Pelodiscus sinensis: one gene and its partner. The protein of the gene in region 1 interacts with the protein of each later gene in a pairwise test. Links are inferred from orthologs where the notes say so. Each region holds a gene or a part of one and is shown on either strand. Other genes may lie near its edges.

What was found.
Region 2: the proteins of EEA1 (region 1) and RAB5B interact in binary tests that used the Homo sapiens proteins (3 or more experiments, as listed by UniProt). The link is inferred for Pelodiscus sinensis from reciprocal best matches to the Homo sapiens genes EEA1 and RAB5B.

Annotation. Positions count from the first base shown.
Region 1 is NC_134711.1:79,636,935-79,645,172, reverse strand, and holds the start of EEA1 (early endosome antigen 1), read left to right. Parts: upstream 1-5,124; 5' UTR 5,125-5,133; coding exon 5,134-5,219; intron 5,220-6,184; coding exon 6,185-6,290; intron 6,291-8,238. UniProt on the Homo sapiens protein: Binds phospholipid vesicles containing phosphatidylinositol 3-phosphate and participates in endosomal trafficking.
Region 2 is NC_134729.1:4,309,861-4,317,613, forward strand, and holds the start of RAB5B (ras-related protein Rab-5B), read right to left. Parts: upstream 3,051-7,753; coding exon 2,888-3,050; intron 1,291-2,887; coding exon 1,139-1,290; intron 923-1,138; coding exon 800-922; intron 1-799. UniProt on the Homo sapiens protein: The small GTPases Rab are key regulators of intracellular membrane trafficking, from the formation of transport vesicles to their fusion with membranes.

The DNA of each region.
Region 1 (8,238 bases):
CACACTACCAAAGCCATTATTTCGAAATAACAGGCTGGTTATTTTGAAATAAAAACTCCTCCTTTCCATGAGGAATAAAGCATATTTCAAAATTGTTATTTTGAAATAGCGTGAGTGTGGATGCTCAGCTGCTGCTATTTTGAAATAATTAGCCTCCAGAGGCCTCTCACAGTCGCACTTGTGGCTGCTCTGGCCACAGACCTAACGTCTCCACTGCCCACCTTCTCCTGCAGAGCTTCAAGCATCAGGCTTAAGGAAAAGGGCTTTTGGCACGTGTGGACCTTTTACAGCCCCATGCCACACAGCACCTATCCCAGGAGCCCTGTTTGACACCAGCACTCCCTCTGAACCCCCCACAGCTGCCAGTCTCCCACACCACCATCGGCTGCCCTGGCCAGGGACAAAAGAGGGCACAGGCCTGGACTGGTGTGGAGATCCTGGACCTCATTGAGGTCTGGCATGAAGAGACCAACCTCTAGGATCTCTGTACCAGGAGGGGAAATGCTGATGTCTGTGGCTGGTTGGCCGCCAGTCTGGCTGAAATAGGACACACGCAGACCCTCATCCGGGTCCGCATGAAAAGAAAAGAGCTCTGGCAGGCCTACAAAAATCCCAGGGAGCAAACTGGATGCTCTGGGGCAGCTCCTCACACCTGTTGCTATTACGAACAGCTGGATGCAGGTCACCTCTCCGGACACCTTTTGTCATCGAGTCCAGCCAGGATATGCCCAGCATCAGCCTCCACGAGGGCGGGGTTGTGAAGGACAAGGATGAGAAGGAGAAGGAGCAGGCCACCATGCCCGTCTGCTAGGAGCTGCTCCTCATCCTGGAGCCAGTCCTCTCCTCCCAGGATTTCTCCTCTCAGGATGTCTACCAGGCCTCAGATGATCCTGGCGAAGGCACTTCTGTTAGTTCTATAACTTTCCCTATGCACATGTGGGGTAGGTGGCACGCTGTGAAGAGCTGTGTGCTCCTCGCTTAACCTCCTCAGCCTGGGGAGGGAGGGGGGGTTTGCACAACAACCTGTGCACATGCGTGCACATGGAGTGCCAGTCCAGAGCATTCAGCTCCATGATGCTCTCACACAGGAACCCCTCGGTCCTTCTCACAAGGTTCCTGGAGAGTCCTGCCTTATTCTGGCCTCCATGGTGGGACACACCTTCCCATAAAAGCCACCACTATGGAGCATTGGGTCATGGAACCACACAGCAGTGCTGCACATGGCACAAGGTCATGCTCGCACTCAAGCAGCATCCTTTCCTGGTCAAGTGCGGCGATGAGGAGACCGATCTCGTGATGGGAACCTGCCTGAAGAAAGAAGAGGAAGGGATCCCAGTAATACTCTCTCTGGCAAGCAGCCTCTGCTGCTCACGCACACCTGCCCCAACACTGCTTCCCCTTCCTTCAATGGGCAGGGATAGAAGTTCTCTCTCTCTGCAATCAGAAGACCTGTCATTTTCCTGGCTTTGTGACCATGAGCAAGTCCCTTCACTTCTGTGTGCCTCTGTTTCCCTACCTATAAAACAGAGATCATTCAGGTGTCATTTATTGTTCCCATTTTACAAGGTGGGAGACTCAGTTGGGACCTGCCTACACTACAGGACTGTAATGCATTTGTTATCCATTGATCTCCCCATGTGTTGTTCAGAGCCTATGGATAACACAGCTCCTGAGCATGTGTTCTGTGCTTAGCCTCAGTGTAAGAGCAGGGCTGGAAGGCCTTTTCCTGTTGAGCTGTAAGGAGCAGGTACTTGGTACTAGGGCTCTGAAGAGGCTCTCAAGAATTAATTGTTTTAATAATTGCTATCAATGAACTGGAAGCCAGTATAAAACCACTGCTGGTAACAGATGTGGGTAACAAAATGGTAGCAGAGAGGTAAATAAGGCTGAGGCCAGGACAATGATATAGAGCAATCTGGATCCCTTGGGAAGCTGGAGACATGCAAATAAAACAGATTTGCCAGAGCCAAATGCAAAACCCTTGCCCTAGTCCAAAAGCATGCAGGCCACACCCCAAGAATGGGGAATTATATTCAAGCAAGCTGGGATTCTGAAAAAGATTTAGGTGCCATGCCAGGCAAGCTGCTCAACTGGAGATCGCAGGGTGGTTCTATGGTAAACTGGGCTAAAGCCATCATTAGACACATGAGTAGAGGAGTGAGCAGGGCAGGAAGGTGACATGGCATCCATGAGACTGAGACTGGAATATTGCCTGTTCTAGGAGCCACATTTTAAAAAGATGTTTAAAAATTGCAGATGGGGCAGCAAAGAGCCACATGCTTTGAGAGCTGGAGAAAAATGACTTCTTGTGAGCTACTGAAAGGACCTCAATGTGTTTAGCTTCTACAAAAGAGGCTGAAAGGTGACTTCATTGAAGTGTCTAAGTGCCTTCCTGGAGAGAACATGTCAGCCATTAAATGGCTGTTTAATGTTGTAGAGAAAGGCAGAATAAGGCCAGTGGCTGGAAGGTGAAACTAAAAATAGGGCACAAATATTTCACAGTGAGGGTGCTTTGCTATTGGAATAAACTACTGAAGTAAATGATTGGTTCTCTATTTCTAGAGGTTTCTAATGAATACTGCATGTCTTTTTGGTATGTGCTTGGATCAAAACTTAGCTACTGTTATATACAGGAGGGTTGGGATACGCAGAGATCAGACTTGATGCTCTCATGGTCCCTTCTGACCTTTTAAAATCTACTAATTAATGAAAAACTGTGTGTGGCACTGGGAGCAGCCTCTAGGGCTTTGCTGTGCAGCTGGCTTCATCCCCAGTCTCAGCTATCAGTAAATTGGATCATCCAGGGGAAGCCACTCAAACATCCAAAAAGGACACCAGCCTTATACAGGGGCATGGCAGTCACATCACAAAGGCCTGTTACAGGACCCCAGCCTATTGAGGAAAACTGGAAAGGAGATGGTGACCTCATAGAGAGACCCTGACATCAGCCAGGCAGAACAGAAGCGCATGGCAGGGCAACGTCAGACACTCCCATGGCTCTGCGGCAGCAAGGCTCCTTCTTAAGGTCTCTTCTTGGGGACTGAGAGAGAATTAGGATTTATCTATGTGAGCATGAGGAACCTCTGCCAGAGTTTTCTCCTTCCCTACTATGGTTTTTGTAGTCCCTGTTTAGAAGGTAAGAGCCTCAGAGAGGTTTGGAACCTATTTTGTCTAATCCACCTGGAAACTAGCTGAATTCTAGACCCAGAAATCACTCAGTTAAGGTGATCTGATTTCCTACCAAGGACTCTGTCCTGTAGAATCACTGGGGTTATTGGGGGTTTGTCCTTTTTAGTTTCCCTTTTCCTCTTTCCTTCCTTCTCTTGACCCTCTTCCTTTCATCCCTCTTTCCACCAATGAGGGGTGTACCGGTGTGTGTTGATATGTGTATATATAAGGGGACTGTTAGCCCCTTACGAAAACTCTGTGGGAGTTTTTGGTTTGCCAGCTCCCAGTATCAAAAGGGGAAGGGTCCATGAGAAATCAGGGCCCTGAGACTGACAGACCCCAGAGACAATGGAAAGCAGCCAACCCTCCAGCTTGGCCTGATTGACAGGTTGGACAGGCCAGTAAGGAAAGTAAGAGGCCAAGCCCCATCCTCCTCCGTGGGAGCTGGAATTTTTCTGGGTCTCTCTAAGCAAGGAAAGAGAGCTAAGAGGAGAAAGCTGTGTGGAGAGGCAGTCCTGCAGCAACAGAGCCAGGCACACACAGCCCAAGGAGCGCAGACCCAGTGTTGAGCAGCAGACTGGCAGTGATCAGAGAGCCAAAGGGGACAGAGAAGCAACACAAGGAGCTGGAGACTGGCAAAGCAGCACAGCCTGCAGCTGGGTGTGGTGAGCAGCTGGGACCAGCAAAGTGGGGGGGAGAGGCTCTGGGCAGGGAGACACCACCAGTCAAGAGGCCCAGCAGGCCAGACTGGGAGAGAGGTCTTGCCACCTAGAGCCTGAGGCCATGTGGTCACTGCCAGAGCAAGCGTGTCCAGCCTGTAGCCCCCTGCAGCACGGTCAGGATCTATAAGGGACCTATAAGGAACAGACTGTGAACTGTCCCTACACTCTGCAAACTGCTGTTTTGATGTCCCCATGCTACAGAGCAGGACTGTGTGTTCTCATTTACCCATTCTCATTTTTTCTTATTCTTTTCTCTTTAATCAGTTGATGTTTAATAAATTGTATTTGCTTTGAACTTTATGAAATGATCGCTGGGCCAAGAAAGCATGCAGTGTGAAGAGAGCACCCCGGAGTGGGGACACCCTATCCCTTGCCCCAAGTGACTACAAGGTTGGGGATTAAGCCCCAGGAAACCTGGGCCCAGCCTTCTTGGGCTTTCAAGGACTCTGCTACTCAGGAGAGTGGAAGGGGAGCCCTCAGGATCAGGGAGGCCGTGAGGTAAAGGAAGGGGGAGCAGGGACTCAGATCCTTTCGTTGGTCCATTTCACTGGGGTAGTATAGAAGCCAGGAAAGTTCCCCACAATAGCGGGACCATTCCCCCGCTTACATGTAGGAGGATGCTGTCACTGTGGGAGGTCCTCACAAAGAGGTGGGGCTGGAATTTCTCAGAGACAGATCTCCTCTGGTGGTAATCTGGGCTATCCTTCAGGACATCTGCTGAGACCCCTCCTCATCCCACCTCTCAGAGTCTCGATGCTGATTGATAGAGCCCTGCAAATCCACTTTATATCTGTGGGTACCCAAACCTGCAGATGTGAATGCGGATATCCGCCGCTTATTTTTGTGGATACAGATGCGGATATGGATATACATTTTGTATCCATGCAGGGCTATACTGATTGACCAAGAAAGACTCAGGCCCTTTTGTTCTCCTTTAAGACCAAACAAATAAATCACAAGCAATCATGTATTTGATTGTGTTGCTTTCCTCCATTTATTGTCTCTGTGCAATTCCTGATGCTCTCTAATGCGCCAGTTCTTTTGAAATACTTGCAGAATGAGGACTATGAACAATTGTTGGTCTGTAGCTCACTAAGAGCACTTTATTCTGATGAGTCTGTGTCCCCCAATGGGCTGGCTGGGGGGGGGGGGAGGCAGGACATCAGCCTTGCTGGGTATGGGTGAGTGTGGAAGTGACATCACAAAGGCTTATTGCAGGATCTTAGCCTATTAGAGAAAGTGTATGTGTATGGGGGGGGGGGGTGACCTTGCCAAGAGACCCAGACTTCAGCCAGGCTGGACAGTGAGGCAAGGCAGAGACAACTTCAGGTACCCTTCTTATGGCTTTGTGGGAGGCCCTCCCAAAAAGGTGGGGCTGGAAGAGTGCTCTGAGACTGATTCCCCCTAGTGGTGACCTGGGCCATTCTTTGGGATGTCGGGTGAGACCTCTCAGAGTCTTGATGCTGAATGGCTGAGCAGGGGCTAGTGCGTGGAGGAGAAGTTTTCCCAGTTTCCCAATTGTGACCCCTGGCTGCCCTTCCTTTGTAGGCTGTGCATAAGGTCTTGTCTGACCTTAGGCATGCCATGCTGGGAAACAGACAAGCTCCAATACATCTTGGAGGTGAGCATGATCAGGAGAGGCAGGAGACAGTTTTACTTTAGTGCTTGGGAGAACTGGAAAGGAGAAATTGGAAATCCATTTTCCAGTTTGTCATCCTAGCTTGCACCCCATTGGGTCATCCTTGGTCAGGGCAATCAGTGCAGAGCTATGCGGGTCCCTTCGTCTGTCAGGGACAGGGAAGGGAGTTGGAACTTCAAGTCAAGGCTCAGGCTGGCTTTGAGAGTGACAGTCTTAAACCTCCCACCTCTTCCCAAGTTCCCTCTGTACCCACATGAAATGCAGGAGATGATGCTCATGGAATAGTCACAGACTCCTTCCTAGAGATCCATGAGGGCTCAGAGGGATTCAGCTTTTCTCTCGTACTGGCACTGAGATTCAGGAGAGGGAGGGAGGGGTCCTCATAGTCACTCCCTTCATCTGAATAAGGACTTTTGAGCCAGGGAGGAGCAAGTGGGCTATATCCATCCAGATGAGCTGTTCATAAATGAGTTCAGAAAGAACAAGACCAGCCCAGACACCAAGCATTGTCCCAGTCTACAGAGACAAAGACACATTGTGACAATCCCCTTCTCAAGCACCATGACCACAATGTCTCAGCCCCAAGAATGAGCATGGGCTTGTTTGCACAGCATGTGCACCAGTCTATTAATCCTGACCTGCTTCCTTCCACCAGAGCCTACCAATTTCTACATCAGGTCCAGTGTCCCAGGAGAGAGCCAAGGCCATATGGAGCAGCAGAGCCCTGTTCTGATTCACCATCATCCTCCCTGAATTTGATGGTAAGTGACCTCTGAGCCCGGCTCCCTGACTCCAGCTGTAGGCAGGCTGGCTCCCACAGGATCGGCAGTTGCAGAGGCTGTGGGTTGGCACCATTTCCCTTGGGAAGGAAGAGTCAGAGCAAGGAATGAGAGAGACTTGAGTCAAGTTCATCTTCTCCTGGGTCAATGAAGACTCTGGACGTTTAAAGGGACCATGTTCCAACACCTGCTTCAGCCAGGTTCATGTCTGGCCTTGGGTCCCTTCTTGTTGTCCTGGAGCAGCTGGGAATAAAAGTCCTTATGGAGGGCCCTGTCCACATCCCTTTGTTCCAGGATCCTTTGGGGGCAGAAGAAACTGAGGATCTATCTCTAGCTTCTCTCCCCTGGTGTCTCCTGCAGAAAGACTTGGGGGAGAAAGACTTCCTGTCCTGTGGAAGATTGGGATCTGACAGGAGAATGCTGATGAAGCCTCCTCTTCTCCTCCATTAGAACTCAGCATAGTTCCCCAAACTAGGGAACTTGGTGGTTTGGCTGTCACTGTACATCAGTGACCCAGCCAAGGACATCAGTCGACTGACCAGGGAGGGGATTTGATGGCTCTACAAACTGCTGCTACATCACAGGCAAGGAAACCCAGCTTGAAAATAGAACTCAATAGAAGTGACACTAATCAAAAACAGGCAATGGGACCCGTAAAGAAATGACCCCCCTCATTGGCCCCAGCTGGAGGATGAGTCTATATCTCCTTCCCATACTTAGTTTAGGATCAATCCCACCTCTTCAGGCATCCAAGTGTATGCCACTCACCGTAGGGAGCTCTGCTATTCTATTGGGGCAGGGATGCAACCCAATGGGAATGGAAGAAAAGCTTCCAAAACCAGACAGAGAAATCTACCAAAAAGAAGCTGCTAAGGAACAGCTATCATAGGTAGATGGAGGAAATGAAGGCAGGAGCTCCTCCTACCGTGGGACAAGGGGTCCCTGGCACTAGAGGTCACTAGAGAAGAAGATGAATTTATCCCAGGGTGTCAGTTGCCATTAATCCTCCCAGATTCCTGGGGGCAGCCAAGTCTCTGACAAGTCCTTGTTCTTTTGAGACAGGAGGACATCATGGCCAAGGTGATGTGCCAGCTCCACTTCATCTGATCCTTTCACCAAGTGCCTGAGGTTCTGTGGGGAATGAGCCTTTTAGGGTGCCTCTGATGAGATGTAGAACCCTACACTGGGCCAAGAGGGGTTAGGAAGCAGGCCTAGGATGCTGCCCATCAGGCTCGAGGCTGTCATGGGATGTATGTTCCTGCATGCTAGCTCAGAAACCAAAGGTTTAATACAGGCATTGCCAGACACTGCTGATTGGTAGGCTAACAGCAGCTGGGAGGATCAAAGGGCTAGGAAGGAGACTGGCAGGGCAGCTAAAGAGGAGTGAACAGGCAGAAGAAAGAAACTCGGGCCAGCAGACTGCTAGAGAACCACCCAGGGACAACATCCCTAAAAGGGGCAAAGAGGCCCAACAGACCAAACTCCCTGATGGACCTGAGAACAAAGCAGATTTCCAGATTCCTAGGCATGAGGAGTGGACCTACGCTGATTATTTTCAGGAATAACGGCATTGCACAAGAGGGTTTTTCTTGCGCAAGAAGGGGCAGGGTAGACAGCTCCTTCTTGCGCAAAAGCCTCTTCTGCAAAAATGGTGGCTCAGATATGCAAATGAGGCTCGGCGATATTCCATGCTTAGCCTCATTTGCATAGCTCTGGCGCAAGATTGCGCCAGTGTAGACATAGCCAAGGTGTGTGCATGGGGTAACAATACAGCACAAAGGAAATAACCAAGCTCTCAAAAGTAATTAAAAAACATGTTAAAGAAGCAGTTTAAAAATACTGAAAAACCAGGGAGGTAAAAATACCTATTATATAGCGATTATAAATAAATACTAATTACTTAACTAAGTTCTCATACTATGAAGCAGTC
Region 2 (7,753 bases), on another chromosome or scaffold:
TAGCCAAGCAGAGCCACAGGAAATAGCGTGGGCTGGCTCACACCGCTCCCCTCGGCTGCAAAGGATGAAATGGCGCCAATGGGAGCCGCGAGGCTCTTTGCCCGCAGCGCCAGTAAATTAATAAACCAGGGCGGCCAGTTCATGTGTTTCCCAAAGTTGTTTCGCGAAGCACTGGTCTAGATGGGGCTTGGAGGTTCCTTCCAGTTCTACAAGTGTAAGTTCCACCATTCAGGGAGGTTCACACCTGGAAGGTGAGAGAAGGGTGAGTGATGGCCAAACTCACCAATGACACCCTTTCACAATCATCCAGAATCCTGTGGCCACACAAGAGGCCTAGGTCCTCTGCTATGGAGCTAAGCCAGCAGCTCCAGAGATGGACCATTAATCTCCACTGGACTGGAGACAGGACGCAGCAAACTAGTCTTAAGGAGGCACGGAGAGGTTGCAGCAGAGAGAGAGAGAGAGAGAGAGAGAGAGAGAGAGAGGACACTGCTCAGGCTTCGCAGGGGCTCAGCTGTGCTAAACAGGCCTGGCTAGCTACCCTTTGACCAGCAGGAACGTATCCTGCTGGCAAGACGGAAGCAGTGACCCATCTCGAGGCACAGGGTGGAGACACCTCTGTGCTGGTCAGAGTAGCATTTGTCCAAGAGCTGCTTGCTGGCTGACCCCTGGCCAGAGCTGACAGACTTCCCAGCTGCTGTAGCAAGATAGCAAGAGGGTTTCAAAGGCCAGGAGCAGCAGTCAGGCAGCGCTGGGGGCTGGGAAGGCTCTGCCAAGGCTATCAATGCTGGCTACTCACTTCATATTCTACCATGCGCTTGTTGGCAAGGTCGGCCTTGTTGCCCGCTAGGGCTATGACAATGTTGGGGCTCGCTTGCCGCTGCAGCTCTTTCACCCATGTCTTCGCTCGGGCAAACGTTTCCTGGAAGGAAAGGCAAGAGACAGGAGCTTCAAGTCAGTGCCTTGCCTGATGCCGTGCCCTTAGCGGTCAAGGCGGACACAGAACCCAGGCTTCCCAGATCCTTGCCTCAGCCGAGAGACCATCCTTCCTCCTGGAGCACAACAGTTTCATCCGCCGCCCCGCCCCCCCCCCCCACGCTCCCAGCACCGGAAAGCAAAGGGAGAAAGCCAAATGTACCTGGTTGGTGATGTCATAGACCACAATGGCAGCTTGGGCCCCCCGATAATACATGGGGGCCAGACTGTGATATCTCTCCTGGCCGGCTGTGTCCCAGATCTCAAACTTTACTGTGGTGTCATCCAGGCAGACAGACTGTGTGAGAAACGCCGCTGTTGAGAGGAAAGGAGACAGTGGGATAGTAGCACTCGGCTCAGAGCCGTGCAGAGCGCACCCCTGCCCTGAAGAGCTGTCAATCTAAGCCGATTGACAGGCAAAGCCTGGGGAGGGAGCAGTGACTCACTCAAGGGCACAAAGCCAGGTCTCTAGGACCCTAGACTCTGAGCCAGCTGCCTCTCTAGGTGTAGGTCACACAGCAGCAGGTTAATCCTTTCAAGTTGGACCTTAACATTCACCTGCTACTGCTGAAGTCCTGCTGCTGTGCACCAGCTGCATGCTTCTTGGGAGATCAAGCAGCCAACCACAACCAAGAACCAGTCCTGTGTTGGGGAGGAACTGGGGCTCGTGGCTGCATTAAGGAGTTGGACAGACAGCTTCTCCCAACCCCCCGTGCGGGGCGGGGACAGCCAGATCCAAACTGGAGCAGCGTTTGCGCTCAGGCAGGGCAATACATCTCCGTGCGGGATGCAACACAAGTCCGTGCAGGACACCATGACCTCCTTTTTCAAAAGAGACTAGCAGCACATTAAAGGGGGCTTGGTTTGCAGAAGGGTGCACTATCCTTTAGGGTTAAGTTGGGGGCCCAAAGTCCTCTGGACGGCAAGCCTTCAAGAGCCTGGTTCCATTCCCTGCAGCTCTTAGGGCCAGAGTAATGAGGGGTGGGGGTGGGGTCTCTGCATCCCCCTTCAAAAAAAGGCTTTGCCCGTGACTTTCAAACCTAACTGACCCTTGAGTCCCTCTTGCAAAGGGAGAAAAAAAGGACACAGTGGGGTGGTATTTGGCCCACAGCAGAACCCACGTGTCTGGGCTCCCAGTTCCATGCACTAATCGGTGCCTATGGATTTGTATGGCACCATGAGGCACTATTGGTGTCCCCCACCATGCTAGGGGAAGACAGGTGGAGAGAAAGCAAATGCATTAAGAAGTTTCTACACCAGCCAAGACTCAGCGTGGTGGAGGTGAGCAACCCAAGAGTCAAACCACTGCTGGGCGCTGAAGGAGTCACAAATACGTCTCCTGGGGGATTCACCCCTGCGATGACTCAGCCCTCCTCTTTTACAGGTCTCCGAGCTCTCAATGAAAAGGGGGGGGGGGGCTATGAAGGTTTCCACATTATGGATGGGGCAATGGGAGGCACAGAGGGGACAGGGACTCGCATGTGGTCTGTGGCAAAGCCAGGAACAGAACTCAGGTCTCAACTCCTGCTTCAGTGCTCTAGCCACGCTGCCGCACCACCCGTTCTACGGACGTGCCACTTATGAATCCAAGAGGCATCTGGCCGTCTTGCCTCAGCCAGGATCCGAGAATTGGCTACACCACCGTCACACGCACTATGAGGTTCCTCCAGGAGCGCCAGCGAGTCACTGGGAGGCTGCAGGTAGCTCTGGAAGGAGCATGAATTCAGCAACATTTAGCCCCATGCTTTGGGCCCCTCTGAAGGCTGCCCACAGGGATAACAGGCCAGAAGTGACCAGCCCCAGGCGGCGGGTGCCCCGGTGGGGAGCAAGGGAAGCCAGGAGCTCCAGACAACCCGGGGAAGTCTATGTTTACCCGACATGCGCTCCCCCATGGTTCTTGGCGTTCACTTACCCCCAATGGTGCTCTCCTGGTACTCGTGAAACTGACCCTTGACGAAGCGCAGCACCAGACTGGACTTTCCCACCGCAGACTCGCCCAGCAGCACTAGCTTAAACTGACAGATTTTACTAGCTTGGGACTGACCATTCGGCCTGGCGGCTCCTCTGCTGGTCATGGCCTGGATTCTGGTCACACCCTGCGCCCCAGCGGATCAGAGAACCTTTGTGCCACTGACCAGCTCTTGTGAGGGGAGCAGCTGGGTTTGCAGTATCCTACTGGCTCAAGTCTCCTGAAACAGAAAAGGAGGTGAAGAATCAGCAGAGATACAATACTGCGGAGTTCACAGGGCTCCTAGCACTTTGGCCTCAGCCATCAACTCAGCTGAATGGAGCTGCTTTTCACACCACTAGTACAGAAGCAGAGAGCAGCCGGAAGAGGGGCTTATCCCCAATTTATGGGACCAGTAACTGCCTTGAATACCAGACACAGGGGCAAGTGGCACTCTGCTGATCAGCTGGGCGGCATTTGAATTTCTCCTGAGCAGCATAGTGAGGCATAGAACCCCGAAGTCTGACCTGCCCACTAGACCTACTGGGCCAGGCTCCCTTTCCTGCAAAGAGTTCCGATTCCCTGTACACCGAGGCAGAGAGGCCTTTGCTCCCCCAGCCTCACTGGCAGACAAGCTTTAAAAAGTAGAAAGCTGACAAGCAGAAATCAGTCCAAGGAGGGCAAGAAAACGCTGGCTCCTTAGAGCCGAGTGGCCGGTGCACCAGAGCAAGTGAGTCAGCAATCCTAGCAGATGTCTCACTTGCATTCCTGGAGACGTAGCCAACAGCTCCTGGATAGGAGCTCACGCTGAGCCATGTGGTACCGAGGGCTGGGGCGGAAGGGCAGCACCTCTGACCTACTCCAGGAGGAAAGGAGATTCAAGAGCTCTCCGTTACACAGCAACAAGCTCCGGCCCCATTTTGCAACCTGAATACATCTGTTCAGTTTGTTGCAAGTGGCCTGAAATTCCAAATCTGCTTTTCACCTCCCCCCAGCTCTCTGAGGGCAGGACAGAGGGATGGAACTATTTCAGGGTTGCAGTTCTGAAGGGAAATTCCTAAGCAAGGGACACTTTGGTCTGTTTTTGTTTAAGTATTCTGAGATTCCCCACTCTCACGTTATCCCACACAGGGGCTATAGGCAGACCATGTTCTCTTCCCAGCCTCCCTCCTCCCATTTTAAAGCTTTGCTGCAGATCTGTGCAAGAGCCTTTTCACAGGTAAGAGTGAAACTGACAAGACCCTGGTCTCTGTCACATAGCGACTGTCCATAACCAAAGATTCCTTCCCCCACCACAGGCAGTGGGTGAAAAAAACCCAAACAATCAAACCATATGGCTGGGAGTTCTGAGGAGGAACAAATGGGGAGACAGAACGCTGACTCTACATCCGGAGTTATTCTGGTTTAACTGAACCCACTTTTTCAGATAAAACACCAGTGTCTCTCCTGAAAGCTCATACTAGCTGCATGTTTTTTTAGTCTAAGGTGCTGCAGGACCATTCACTGTTTTTAAATTGTGCCAGAGGCTGTGTGAACAGCTTATTACAGTTTAAGTGAAGTCAACTAGGAATAGGTTTAAACTAAACCTAAATAAGCCACTGATACCTGAAGCAGCCAGAGGTTTGCAATAGTTTGACAGGTACGCGTTTAGATGAGGCAGGAGAGTCTAGGTTTGTCTGTATGCAAGTCAGAGTCTAGAAAGCGAGACCTGTTTTAATTCACAGCTGTACAATCAATAATAGAAGATTCTATTTCAAGTGTTGGCCACAAAGGGTATGGGGAAGGGGGTGCTAATTGAAATGGACAGCATCTGAAATAAGCTCCCACACATCTGCGTCCATGCATCAATTTGTGAACTACAGCCTCTTGTCTTGGTTCCAGCATGCCTGTAGCCAATGCCTTCCTTCTGCCAGTAGCTGAGAGTTCAAGCCCCTACGGTTTCTCAGGATTTCAACTAGGAGCCTGCAAGAGGAGTTCCTTTGACCAGACATGAAATGCATTTTAAGAGCTCAAAACACATGCATACTAGTGATGATTTCTTACTGGAATCCCCTTAGAAAGCAATGTAGCCAAACTGTTAATTCAAATAGCTCTGTCTGCTTTGGTACGTTAGTAACCGCAAAAAACACATATCGGGAGCAATGGAAGGCAACAGCATTAAACTCCAGAGTCTGTTTATTTCACCATTTAACGGATTAGTGTTAAGTGAGGCACATCTCAACCCTTTATTTCAGTGAGTTATTACCACCACCAATGAGCCAGGGGGGATTTAGCAAAACGTGTGGTTTGCCTACTGGCTGCTGGGATTTGAAGGATGAACTCTTCAAAGCCCATTTCTGGGTTCCACAGTCAGCACCGGTGACCGCTGAGCTGAGTTTCCCAAAGTACAGACAATTGGGCTGGTGGCTTTAGATCTTGACATTTCCCATTCCCCACATGCTTTGATACAAGCAGAGTAAAGGGCAAAAGATAGCAGAAAATGCTAAGTGTAACCACAGCATTGTGTACAAACCAAATGCTGGGCAGCCCCATACCTCCCAGTTCCATGAAGGTCACCATTTCATGTTTTCTAAAGCAAGAATCCAAGAACAACAGGAAAAGGTTTCAAAGCCCATGATGGCCAAAGCTGCCTGGTAGCAACCCAAGTACTGCGCATTCGGGTTTCCTGGAGCTGAGTTGGCTAAAGACAGGGAAATGCTTCCTTCCACTTTGATGACTTCGTTAACTATGTGAGGGGGAAATGATTAAGCAGTGACCTCATCCATATCCGATGGGAGTTTCTGAGGGAGAGTCCTGCCTGATTCTGGAGAAGCAGCAGTGATTCTGGAAAAACCCAGGCTGCATGGATGCAGGGTTAGAGCTTCAACTGGGCGAGGTCCAGGTTGGGTATTCAGAAAAACTATTTCACTAGGAGAGTGGCGAATCACTGAAATGGGTTACCTAGGGAAGTAGCAGAGTCTCCATCCCTAGAGATTTTAAAGTCTCGGCTTGACAAAGCCCTTGCTGGGTTGATTTAGTTGGGATCAGGCCTGCCTAGGGCAGGAGGTTAGACTCTATGACCTTCTGAGATCTCTTCCAGCTCTATGATTCATATAAGGACAAAGATTTAGACAGAGGGTGAAATATTAGTGAGTAGCAACTACAGTTGGGGCCAGATTTGAAAGTCCTCAGTGCCTCCTCCCACGATGAGCCAATCTCCTTTGGATGTCTAGCCTGCGGTAGCCACAGAATACCGGGCTTCTCCAACTGAAGACACTCCCATTACTTATCCCAAAGGGTGTATTGCTGGTCACCCCATCATCTCAACCTGCCAATCGCTAGTTAGTTACAGTGACCGGTACTGTGTCTGCTGGCTTAAGCAAGTCCCAAGAGGCTAAACATGAAGGAAACTTCAGAGAAAGAGGGAGTATTTGACAACAGGACCACCTCACTGTAAAACCCATCACCACAGATCCTTAGAGGGGACCTACAAAGGGTGGTTTGTTTGGGGTTTGCTTTTTTTTTTTTTTTTTTTTTTAAATGATTTCTCCGGCTATGTCTAGACTGCAGGCTTCTTTCAGAAGAAGCTTTTCCGGAAGAGAACTTCCGAAAAAGAGCATCTACACTGCCAAAGCACATTGAAAAAGCGATTTGCTTTTTCAAAAGATAGCGTCCACACTGAACAGATGCTCTCTCACATTTAAGCTGTGATTACTATGGGCCCCTAGGGCACCTGTGCTTTTTCCCCCCTCTTCTTGCGAAAAAAACTCCCTTTTCCCCATCCACACACGCCTTTTTCTGAAAGAGCTCTTCTGGAAAAAGACTTCTTCCTCGTAGAAAGAGATTTACCAACGTCGGAAACCCCCTCTCTGTTCTTTCGATTTTCTTTCAAAAGAACGCGACTGCAGTGTGAATACAAGTGTGAATACAAGTGAAGTTCTGTTTTTCCAGAAAAAAAACAACCCTGTAGTGTAGACATACCCTCCTTTGAAGGCTCCACAGAAATCAGGAATGTCTCCGGCTTTCCCTCTATGCTGGAGGTCTAAGCTGCAGTGCCCCAGTTGTTCCATCTTAATAAATGATTCTCTCCTCCCCCTGAGACTGTGCAGTAAGTGAAACACGGATGCTGTGACCATTCCAACAAAAAATCCCTTCTCCTCAATTGCTGCAACTTTTCACTTCCTTGTGAGGCTCTGAATTCATTAGTTCCCCAAAGCACCAGAGCTTTCCCGGAGAGGTGGCTAGGAGAGCCTAATCTAGGGACACTTTTCAGCTCCTAAGTTTATCTGAGCTTGTTTCAGCATCTTTGTGCTTAAGTGCCTACTAAATTGGTACCAGATAAAAGTTGTCCTCTCTCAACCACAGGGCCTTCCAGCCCCAGGCTCTCAAAGCCCTTCACCAGCTTATCTGAATGAAGCCTCCAAATACCCCATGAGTAGCATCTCCATTTCAGAGAGGAGGAAGGGAAAGCTCAGACATGAAGTGGCTTTGCCCTGGTCATAAAGCGAGTCTGGCAGAGCTGCAGACAGTCTGACAGCCCTGCATGTCATGCACAAGAACATTCAACCTGCACAATAGCACCTAACAGCTTCTTCGGGTTTTTTCTGTTACTCAGGTTTCCCTCCCACAAGACAACCTTCTTCAAAGCCTTTTGAAGTGAGGTGTGCACACACCTCACAAGAGCAGACAAACCAACACAGGCCATGAAGGCACCCAGTACTACTAGTGCCCAGAGACCACTGCTTGGCATGGGGATGGGAAGCCAAGAGCTATATCCACTCTTCAGACTATAAACTCCTTGGCACAGGGACGGTCTACTCCACTCCGCGGAGTGCCTAACAAGGAGGCCCT